3 linked regions of the Arabidopsis thaliana genome follow. The protein of the gene in region 2 interacts with the protein of the main gene of each other region in a pairwise test. Each region holds a gene or a part of one and is shown on either strand. Other genes may lie near its edges.

Evidence for each region. Proteins that work in one complex are often made in the same cells at the same time.
Region 1: the proteins of AT1G54540 (region 2) and ATL4 interact in a protein complementation assay, tested with the Arabidopsis thaliana proteins (one large-scale study listed by BioGRID).
Region 3: the proteins of AT1G54540 (region 2) and UMAMIT14 interact in a protein complementation assay, tested with the Arabidopsis thaliana proteins (one large-scale study listed by BioGRID).

Annotation. Positions count from the first base shown.
Region 1 is NC_003074.8:22,254,013-22,258,019, forward strand, and holds ATL4 (TOXICOS EN LEVADURA 4), read right to left. Parts: upstream 2,166-4,007; 5' UTR 1,783-2,165; coding exon 778-1,782; 3' UTR 551-777; downstream 1-550. UniProt on the Arabidopsis thaliana protein: E3 ubiquitin-protein ligase able to catalyze polyubiquitination with ubiquitin-conjugating enzyme E2 UBC8 in vitro.
Region 2 is NC_003070.9:20,367,012-20,370,359, forward strand, and holds AT1G54540 (Late embryogenesis abundant (LEA) hydroxyproline-rich glycoprotein family), read right to left. Parts: upstream 1,501-3,348; 5' UTR 1,411-1,500; coding exon 691-1,410; 3' UTR 542-690; downstream 1-541. Other genes in the region: AT1G54550 (F-box and associated interaction domains-containing protein), read left to right, coding at 2,678-3,348.
Region 3 is NC_003071.7:16,490,593-16,495,266, forward strand, and holds UMAMIT14 (nodulin MtN21 /EamA-like transporter family protein), read right to left. Parts: upstream 2,752-4,674; 5' UTR 2,494-2,751; coding exon 2,315-2,493; intron 2,140-2,314; coding exon 2,077-2,139; intron 1,990-2,076; coding exon 1,873-1,989; intron 1,798-1,872; coding exon 1,557-1,797; intron 1,468-1,556; coding exon 1,306-1,467; intron 1,208-1,305; coding exon 1,056-1,207; intron 977-1,055; coding exon 766-976; 3' UTR 551-765; downstream 1-550.

The sequences.
Region 1 (4,007 bases), on a different chromosome or scaffold from region 2:
AACGTAGTTCAGAACTGCACATTGCAATGCTGTTGAACAAAAGAAATACCTTAAAATTTAACTCATTGACCAATGCAGGCAGGCAGCCATGCCTAAATCTGGAGCAGAACTAATATAACCACCGGGTAATGTCAAACTTGCAGCGAAGGTCACAGTTGCTATTAGTGTTGCAGACAAGAAGGGTTTAGGTACTGTAATGAAAGTCGAAGCATTGGATAACGTTAGCTTCCTACTCTGTGAGTCACGACACGGCAAGCTATTATTAGGTTGGGAAGTTGAGGAGATTCGCTCGTTCTTGCTGTGTTTGTGTGTTTTGTTATTGGACCAAACACTTCTTCTACAGACTTCTCTTGTTGCTTCTTTAAAAAGTTTATGTGCTTTGTTCGATTTAGTTTGGGCTAACTATGTTGGCCCAAAAACTTTTGCTTCTCATCTTTGAAAACCAGTTCTCTTAAATACGGTTTGGTTTTTTTTTGTTTTTGTGTGTGTTATAAACCTAATAGTTTTCTTTTCTTCCTGATATTCAATAAGAAAGTTATCCAAATGAAAATTCGCTATCAATGTTGAATCACACTGGACATAATAAAAGAGAAAATAGACCATTTAAAAGTAATAATATATAACTAGAGAATTCATCTGTTATATCGTCAGAAAAAGAAAAAAAAAATCGGTAATTGAAGCAAAGAACTTCAAATAGTGTTTATATGTACAAACCAAAAGTAATGCTCTGTTTTTTTTTCCAAGTGAATGAACAAATGTCACCAACTCACCTGTCACTCACACCCCTGAGAGCCACCGGAAAAGCTCACTTATCTCTTCTCCGGCATGATTCGCTTCTAAATCCATCACCGTCAATTCCTCACTCCGACGACTACTCCCAGTAAAAAATCTACCAGAGCTTCTAAACGACATTGCACGCGACGATATACCTCGTGAGAGTCTGTCAACGTAATCCTTGAGCCAGCTTCTAGAACCATCGTTACCTATATCCGCCGCTAAACTAGCTTCAAACGACGTCGGATTAGTCGTAACCGCCGTTGCTGTGGCAGTTGTTGTAGTCGCGTCTTCCTGTTTTCCACGGTTGAAATTTGACTCTGAGATTTCTGAATCTACGTCGTCTACTATGTAATCGAACGAACCGATTGAGTAAGTTCGATGCTGCTCAACGGATTCTGGAATCGGTGTTTGACGACGACGGCTGATGGATCCGATTTCGAGACGGAAGCTGTTTTCTCCTCCGCCGTTGTTTGAGCCGACGACGGCGAGAGACTTCATGAGATCAGATTCTGAAGCGAAGAGAGGAGAGCGACAGAGAGGACAAGTCTGGTTAGAGACTAGCCAGATATCGATACAATCGGCGTGAAAAGCGTGACAACAGAGAGGAAGAAGACGGAGCTGATCCTCCGGTTCGAATTTCGACAAACAAACGGCGCAATCTCCGGAATTCATGGAGCTAGATCGGCGAGTGACGGAGGAGAATTTGAAAATCGGAAGCGAATCAAGCACGGAGGACCGTTCTGTTTCGGGAGAGACTCGATGTCCAGAGAATCGTCGGGAATCGGAAGTTACGGTTGCGACGGAAGAGGAAGATGAAAGAGGGAGAACGGAGCGGTGGCTACAGCGATTGAGACAGCGGAGGAGGAAGCAAATGGAAACGGAGATGAGAAGAGTCATGAGGAGAATGAGAATGATGACTAGTACGCTTGGTTTGAGACTATCGAGAGAAGAAGAGTGAGAATCGTAGTTTCCTCCGCCATGGCTGGGATTGATGAGAGATTCCATTGATGAGAGGAGAGAGCTCGCACAGAGAGAAACAGAGAGAGAAGAAGAAGAAGAAGAAAGTTATAAATTCCCCAACTGTTTTATATTAATGACGGAGGAGAAGAGAGGCACGTGAGAGTGAGAGAGGTCACGTGAGGGTCATGGACCGGTCTTATTACTCTACTCTGCCTTATAAAGAAGGGGGACGTTGGGAAAGAGGCAGAGAAATAAATGTCATCGAACCAACTCAAACTGTCTATATTTAATTCTATAAAGTTATATCAAATCAATTGGCTTTTCACTTTGCTTTCAATTTTGTCCACTATCTTCTTAAGGTATTTTTGCATTTTGTTAAGGTCATAAATTGAGGAGAGTTGTGACATGTATTTATGTAAAACATTTTCACACCAAAGTCATAGTTTCATTTTCAAATATGTAAACAAAATTGTAGAAAACAATACAAATAAAGTTTTATTTGGAGGTGTTGGAATCATTTCTTGAGTCCTTGCTCTTTATGCTTACCTTGTTGAGTCTAAAAACAGATCGATACCATTTTTGACATTTTCCCCAATTCTTATGATTATTATTGTTTTTCAACTTTATGTTGCTTTTTTGATATATGAGTGATGCTATCATTATTTTCACACTGTCTTTTTCTGATATCCATTAGTAGTTTTTTTTTTTTTTTGCTGCCAAGTGTTACAAAATCCGATGTTTTTTTTATTTATGCAATAGAATCCGGAAAAGTTTGTCTCCTTGCGTGAACGAATTCAGGCGTCAAGAAAGCAAACCGGTTTAAATGGAGAAAAGTACGAACATTTTAACAAGATAACTATAAGCTGTTAGAATGATAATCAACCTGATAAAGAACATGTAAGTAAATAATTATATCTCTAAGAATTAATTGGATTCGTATATCAGAGATCAAATGGAAATAATGTACAATGGTCAAGAAGTGACTGAGGAGTAAGATTCTCTATATACTTAGAACATCATTATTAGTGGTATATTAGTCAAATTCTTAAGCTAAGATTTATGAAAAAAGGGCTCTTAGATAAAAGTTTTTACTTTTATATTTTCGTAAATGCGATGACATTCGAAATATATATATATGTTCTTACAAGTAAAAAGATTAATTAAAGCAACTAATACGTTTATAGGTTAAACTCCAAACAAATACGTACAGCTGCCAAGAAATGTTTACACAAGAATATTATTATTTTTCGTAAATTTGTTAGGAAAGACGATAACAGTGCTGCAATAAACATAGCTTGTTTGTTTTTGTTTGAATAGAATGTTTATAAACATTCTATATTATCCAGAACCTTATAATAATTCATATATGGTCAAAAGAAACGAAACTATATAGTAGTATTATAAGAATTCCACAAGTTAGTTGGCTTAGAATTAATACGACTCCGCAGGGGACATGTGAACACAGCTCTTATATTAATTAGGGATATGCAAAATCAGAATGACACTTGTAATATTAAGTCCATCACGTAATGCAATATAGATGCAGAGAGACACGTGACTACTCATTATTGGATATTTTTGTTTTTTTTGGATATTATCTGTATTTTTGCGTAAAATAAGGTTGCGGTTGCACGTTCGTAGCATGCCTCTTACTCCATTTAGGTCTTAGTTTGGACTTTGGAGTTTTCACGGTTTCTGTTTTATTTTATTTCATATATATCAAAAAGCATTATGGATTATACAATACGAAGATATCACGCTCTCCAGAAACTATGCCACCAAATACGTAAAATGCATGTAGATACAACCTGTAACTGCAAGTATAATAATTATTATTTTGGTTTAAGCTGTAAGTATAATTATAGTTATATCTGATCATTAGTGATTAAAAGAACTTAAATCCCTAAACTAAAACAATCATCTCTCGATGTTGAGCTAATCATATACAAATCGAAGCCAAAACATTTTCCCATTTTTTGTGGTTAATCTTAATTACTCCTTTTTTTCTTTTTCTTTTTAGTGCTGTTGAATTTAGAGAGCATGCTATAAATTCAGATATCAATTCAAAAGAAATTTCGGTTAGAGAAAGAAATAAAATTTATGTAACGAGGAAATGAAAGAAACATGGTGTGCTCTTGTGTCTGTACCCTTGGAAGGACAACAAAGTCATAAAAACAGACAACCTACTTTATTCATCCAACCATGAATATTTTCCACGTCACTCATTTATTTCCTTTCCAAATCAATTTTGTACACTTGATTTTGTCCTA
Region 2 (3,348 bases):
AATTTCTTCGATTTTTACTTCTTTTTTTACTTGGGATGAATTAAACTCGAGATCGTTTGAATTTTCTCGAAATTTTATATTTCAATTCTATTGTAATTTTCGAAAGTTTTACCATTGAAAAAATAGTATAGATGTGATTCACACTACCAAACCATTCATGCTGAAGTTGATTCCATGCTATGGGCAATAGAATTTATAATCTCGATAGGTGTTACGAGTTGCTCTTTTGCTTTCGACCGTGAAGATCTTATCTCTATTGAAAAACTTTCAGTGTAGCCAACATTTGTAGTTGAGATGACGACATTTGGTTCCCTTGTATGTTTTTTTCCCTCTTCTAGTATTAATTTTCTTTCTCGTCGTTTTAATGTGCGGATCGATTGCCTTGGAAAAAGACATGAGATCGCAATAGGTTTTTTTCCCATGTAAGCACGTCGGTTCCTGAATGACTCTCTCTCTCTCTAGAAGAGAGTCTCGTTCCGACTACTTCATAGAAATTATGTTAAGCGGAAAAGAACCATTCATTTGCAATATTTTGAAATTTCAAAAATCTCTCGTAATTTAAAAAATAAAAATCAATCTTTTATTGAGAATAAAACCATTAATCCAAAATATGAATCAAATGCATAAGAAAATGATGAATTGAGTAATTAACACCAATAAAAAGTAAAAGCGCCTAGATCTAAGAACATCTCAGAGTTTGGCCTTAAAACTGCAATCACTAGCTTTGATGTTGATATTATTGTTCGTTGATAAACTATCAACAACAAGCTTACAACTCCCCAATATCCGAATCTTCTTCATCTTCAGATTTCCGAGTTTGATGGCGACAGGTGCATTCACTTTAAGATCTAACGGTACACGTCCTGTTTGTTGTTGCTGCTGCAATGCCGCCAAGACAGTGTTCCCATATTGCGCTCTTCCCGTTAGAGCCACATTTAGTTTAGTTACATTGCGATGTCCTTGATAAAACCTCGGTATAGGGCCTTCACATAGCTTTGTCTTGTCGTACCACACACCGATATGACCTCCTTTCTCGTAATAAATCCCAATCTTTTCGTTGGGATTACGAGCTGTGATCTCGACTTTAAACTCCGCGGAAAGAGAGAGGTCTAGATTGATTCCAAGGTTGGTAACTCGTAAACTGTTGACTTCGTAACTCGGGAGTTTAGGGTGGAAAACAAAGTATACAACCGCAACCGCAATTGCTAACGCGATCAATGCAATGACTAGAAGGCTTAACACCCAACAAAAGATTTTGCAGCACATATTTCGATTCTTACTAGGAATAACAGGAGGCGGAATCGGCCGTTGAACCGGAAGCAAGACTGTCTTTCCGGGAGCTGGTGTTGTTGTCTTCGTCTTGTTGGCTTCCATTTGAAGAACCGGGTGAATTTTTTGTTGATCTCCCATGGATCTACAACTTTGTATTTAGTAATACTAATGCACCAACATGTATTATATGTACTTTATTTTATATCAAAGTTTTGTCTTGTGAAGTTGTTTCCATGCATGACTTTTACCAACATCTTACCTTCCTCACCTATAACGTTGAATTAATCAGAATATATTAGAAAGACTAGAGGTTGTTCAACAGTTACAGTAATCTTTTTGTATTTAATTCGATAATAAAACAAAAACAATAAATCATTCGGTATATTGGTTTAGTTAGGATGACGACTTTGGCAACATTCCAATGTTTTCAACACATATCTTCTTTTTGTTCATCTCTATGTTCAGCAACAACCCGTATAATCAAATTCTTGAGGAAGAATTTGAAAACTACAATTTTTATGATACATTTCATAACTATCACTAATTTTTTTTTTCAAAAACACCACAAAAGGATTTATAATTTCTTTAAATACATTTTATAGAAAATATTTATAAAGTTATATAAGGTTTTATAAATTGATTCTTGAATGATTTTTTTGTAAGCAATCTCAAAAGAAGAAAGATTCAAACTTATTAAGATAGAAACTAAGAACTTAGATAGATTATTAAAACTTTATGATGCAAGGGTACTGATAGAGAAAATATTACTTCGTTGTCACCAAGAACACTATGATTCGAAATTGATACTCTTATTAAGATGAAGGAAGAGAGTTGTTTTGAGAGGACAACTCTCAAACAAAGTTACCTTCCATGGATGTTCTAACCATAAATTTATATGCTTTTGCTAGCTAAAACTCTAGTTCCATGGGCTAATAGACTTCTCAAAACACTCTATCTTAGGATTCTTTTGCATCCTTTTAAAAAAAAAGTCTTTAGTAGTTTATTTTGAGAAATGGAATCGTAAAAGTGATAGATGTCAAAGTTTCCCAATTAATATATAGTCATCACTCATCTACTCTGGAAATTTATGTTAGTCACATATCATCTGATCTATAAAGAGATTACTAAATATGTGGTGGTGCACTCTACGAACTAAATCAAGAGCTTCGTAGTTTTTAAGTAAAACTGAAAATCAGTTGCTAAACGATTTCGTAATTTTACCATATGATATAGTTAAGGATTCGATGGTTTATTTTTTTCCAAATAATAGGCCCATTTAAAAAATCTGTGCCAAAGCAAAACTTTATTACAAGCCCAACCAAAACACATATACAAACATATTAGGGTACCGAATAGGTCAATGAGACATTAAACTTGTGGAGAAAGCTGAAAACTTGGAGGAAGAATGGCGACAGTAACCGATCTACCGGATGATTTGGTAAGAGAAATATTTTCTAGGGTTCCATTGACATCTCTAAGAGCAGTGAGATCTACTTGTAAAAAGTGGAACGCTATATCGAAATATGACATCTTAGGTAAAAAAGCAGCAGCAAAGAATCAGTTCTTGGAGTTCATGGTTACAGATTCTAGGGTTTGTTCTTTGAGATTAGATCTTCAAGGAATCCGTAGCGAAGAAGATTTGATTGATCTATCTATAAAGCAAATAAGTATACCTAATAAAGTTGATCAAGTCGAGATATCTCAAGTCTATCACTGTGATGGCTTATTGTTATGCATCGCCAAAGACAACTCGAGTGTTATGGTATGGAATCCGTATTTAGGGCAGACGAAATTGATTCAACCAAGAAAAAAACTCCACAGATATGACAAGTTTGCTCTTGGATACGACAACAACCGTAACCACAAAATTTTGAGGTTTCTTTATGAGGGGAGTCCAAGAAACGTCATTATTGATGTTTACGATTTTAGCTCTGATTCATGGAGGGTTCTTGATATTGATATAGATTGGCATGAACTGTTTAGTCACAATAGCGTGTCTTTGAAGGGAAATACTTACTTTTTTGGTCGAAAGGGACCACGTTTGCCTATGCTGTTTAAACCTCCATCTCGTCGTTT
Region 3 (4,674 bases), on a different chromosome or scaffold from region 2:
TAGGGATTCAAATTATCAGTATTTCATTCGTTCATTTTTGATTCATTCTTCTATTGTTCGCTCGACCTAAAGCTTTTTCTTTCTACTTTACCGACGTCAAGTAGGATGGTGAATTGGTGATCCGATAGGATTTTGAAATGACTAACGTAGAATATTCGAACAAAACAGCACCATACACTCAATGCTCTTTCAGTATGAAGCTTTCTGTAACTAAAGTACAAAAGCTGTCACATCAAGTACAAAACTATCTCACAACGTGATGCTTTCTTATATAATGAGATGCTTTCTTATGTGGCGACCAGAAACCGCAACATGCAGAATCTCTAAAACACGTCCCAATTCATAAAAAGTTTTGATTTGATCCATTATGCTCCACTACCCACTACCGCATTACATCATACTCGTGCTCTAAAAGCATTATTTTCCAATAACTTTTTGTAGATTACGTATACAAAGAAAGAAACATGATTATTTTTGTTGCAGATTTATTGGCCAGCTGTTGGAAATATACGTAGGAAACCCACAAGTGGTTGAAGAGGTGTTATAAATTAAGAACTCAAAACACTATATAATTTTAAGTAAAGGTACTTTTAGTAGTGCAAAACATTTCATATATTGTAGCCGGATACAAAATTTAACAAAGCCAAAATTAGCATTACAATAACACTCTACCAATAAGCAACGATCGATCCGGTGTTTAGAAATCGGACACTCATTGTTTTCTCTTATTATATTTTAATAATCGCCGTTAGTCTTTTCTTTATTTTAGACTGATTCATTGGTGTTAGGCCTCGAGATCACAACACTTGCATCATTTGTGTCCATTTTTGCATTTGCTTTTGATGGGAGCACAATTTGTGGTGTACTAAGTGGTAGCTCCTTGTCCATGTCTGAAAATGATGAAGATGGTTCGTCTTTGCTTTTTCCCCACAAAACCGAATAGAGTCCAAGAACTATCACTATTGCTCCAAGAATCCTACAAAAATTATTCAATCAATGAGATTAAACTAATTAAATCATTAGATTTTTCAAGAGCTTTTTGAAAGTTTACGTACCTTCCAAGGAACATAACCTCAGCAAGAATTATAGACCCCAAGATCGCAACAATGACCATGCTCAATGGATTGAAGGCAGTAACAAACACGGGTCCACGAGTTTTCATTATCACTCCTTGAACGTAGTAACCAATCCCTGAACATATGACTCCCTGCATCAAATCAAAATAAGATCATTTTATTTGATTGTTTATATATGTAACCGGAATCAAACCCTCGATTGTATTTTAGTATAACTAATTAATCTTACACCATAAACAGCAGCTAGTAATTTGGAATCCAAGTGGATGGCCCACGCAGATGGATTTCCTCTTTCAATAAAAAGTGCCACAATAGTGCTTTCAATAGACCCCAAAAAACATATGTAAGCTGTCAAGGATAGCTCTACAGGGTACGACTTAAGCGTGATCGCCTGCATAAACAATCATTTTAGTGGTTTAGTACTATATATAACCGTTTCTAATATATTGAACAATATATAAATATTGGTCTTTAAATTACTTGGAGATTGATAAAACCGGCCCAGCAGATACAACCGATAGCGATGAGGCTTGCGCCTTTGGTTAGGTCTTGTTTGACTCCGGTATTGGATGAGTCTTGATGAATGTCGTGAGGATTAGCCCAAGGCAAAGGAATTAAAGGTCCTTTCACAACAGTCATAAGCATTGCTCCACCAACTGTCACAATTGTTCCTAGAATCTTGGCTTGGCTGTGTATTTTCTTGACGTTAACCTTCTCAAGTCTACACAACAATAATAATGATCTCTTTAGACCAAAAACCAAAACTGGACCAAATTAAATTATAAGTTTTTAATACCTAAAGATCCATGCCATAATAAAGGCAAAGGCAGGAAGAACATTTGTCATTGCAGCTGTGAAAGTGGCGGAAGTGTACTTCATACCAGTGTAGTATAAGTTCTGATCAATTGTTGGTCTATAAACATAAAACACATAAATTCAATTAAGCATTTGGAATATAAGAAATAAATAAAATATGAAAAACCAAAATAGTAATTCTTACTCCAATAACCCAAGCAACAATATCTTGAAGAAGATGGATAGCGTCATCTTCGGCCGTATTTTTCTGCTCATGATATTCAAAAAGTAAATTAAAGTAACATGATCAGAAAAAGAAGATTAACATATTCTGCGTGAAGAATACGTAGACACAAGTCTCTACAAGTACGTACGTATAGGTAAAAGCATACATGCATGCATGACCATTATACAATTTTATATTCCAAATGGACATACTATACCTATCCAAGAAATAGGCAAATGGAGCAATGAAAATTGTAGCGACGATATGGCGATACGACGCTAGAACGTGAGGACTCATGCCTTGGTTCAGTGCGAATTTCGCTATGATCGACAATCCAGCATATCCAAATTGTAGAGAAACAACAGTTATGAATGGCTTCCATGTTTTTAAAGCCATATCTCAACGTAGACTTTAATTTGTTATAAAGTGATAGATTGGAATATGATGTAAGAAAGAGCTGATGGAGAAATGTGGGAGGGGTTGAGGTTGGTTTTATAGGAGGGTTTTTAGGGTTTTGTAATATTTTTCATGGGAATTAAAAAAAGAAGAAAATATGACTTTTGAGTTAGGAGGAATTCTAGGGATTCCACTAAGTAATGCAATTTTGATAGTAGAGTATATTGTATATGCTATTCTTGCTTTGTAGAATACAACATGGTTTTGATGTTATCTCTGATTTCTTATAGGAGCATACATAATTATATAAGTAATTGGTGGTCGTGATGATGATGGAAACATCAACTACAATTGTTACTTATTAAATTTTAAATTAAGCTTCCGGTTTTGGTCCTTGGTTTCTTTTAAGTCTGAACTTTTAACCAAGGAAACTGAGTACTTCTCACTGGATTCAACAATATTCAATACCATTGGATATCCCATAGATTTCACATTATTTCATACTACAGAAAAACAAGTTACCGTGGTTACATTTAAAAAAAAAAAAGACATGTCAAAATTATCCCAAATTAACAAGTTTGCTGTTAATTTTGCTGTTTTGTAACTAACAAGCTTAAAAAAGAAATATTATTGTAATAGCTAAGAATAAAAATAGCATTATATAATTTAAAAGTTATTTTCTATTGTACTAATGTAATAATTATTATCTGAATTTTATTTTTATTTTTCTGTATAAAAAAAAGAGAAAAAAATAAAAGAGTTAGCAAACGAATATGACATTTAGCCAACAAATGGGTATAGTGAGATTCAATTGAGGAACACAAGTGGATCCGTGTCGATTATGCTTTTGCTGTTTATGAAAAAAGATAAGAAGAGATATATAATTGAACCCACCAAATTAAATATTACTTGAAAGGAGCTGGAAAAACAATTAGTAAATGTATGTCCACATAACACATTTTATAAATGGAAAAACGCATTATGAAATCCGAATCGGATCATATGTGGAAGGAAAGAAAACAAAATAACTTTTGGCCAACGTCGTGGTTGAGATTTTTGGCACTTTATGATTCTCCCCACCTGGAACCTATATCTCTTACATAGAATAATAATAGTAATGTTTTGATAAAAATAATAAGGGAATTTATACGTATCTGACGAATGCCACAGAGTTTAATTCCCGACAGCCTAATTTTGTATCGTAGGCATGTTATGCGAACCCTCCCTGACGATATATATTCCAATCATCTTTCAGTGTGATTTGCTAAACAAAATTAATTCGGATAATAAAATTTTGAGTAGTGATGATGTTTGTTACTTTAACTTGTTAAGAATATACTATTTTTGTCAAATCAGTTATGATGGTTAGTGAAATTCAAACCTGATCAAAATTATTCTTTAATTGTAATATATCATGCGTTTATACATATCATGAACTCTCTTTTTCTTTTTCCTTCTCATAAAGACATATCATGAATTTACACAAATTACCCTGTAAAAAGATTGGGTGATAATGTCAAATTGCCCACTATATTGGACAAATTTGGCAAAGCTGAGTTGACACCGAATTAACTTAGCTGGATTTTTTAAGTAGCGGATGCATTACAATTGATTTGATAGTTTATTCGTAATAAAATATCACAATTTTCTTTTACTATTGTTATTCGATATAGAAGAATACAGATAAGAAGTCATGAACCCAAATAAAAATATCATTCAAAATGAAAGACTCAAAACAATACAGCTTTCAAAGCCGGATATTAGACGGCATATTCATTACTTAAAAGGATATTAATTAATATCTCAAAGAACCAATTAATGGTGGTTTTATGCTTGACACTTAACTATATGACTAATTTTTTTACTGGGATTACAATCATGGTTGGTCAATGTAAATATTTTAGTGGATTATTGTTAGCTCGGTACAAAATCAGTTAATTATAAATAAATAAATAAATAAAAAAAATCTTAAGAATCATGACCTAAAACAAAACAAATTTTAAAAAATTAATATGAATAGGAAAATTCAGTATATAGGAAAAGCCAATGCTTCATAAACTGGAAGTTTAAACTTTAAAAAATCCAAGTAGACATTAATACAGTTTTTTTTTTTTTGGTAAATGCAGAAATTTTCAACACTCGAAGACTACCATAAACTTCAAGAAATATATGAATAATATC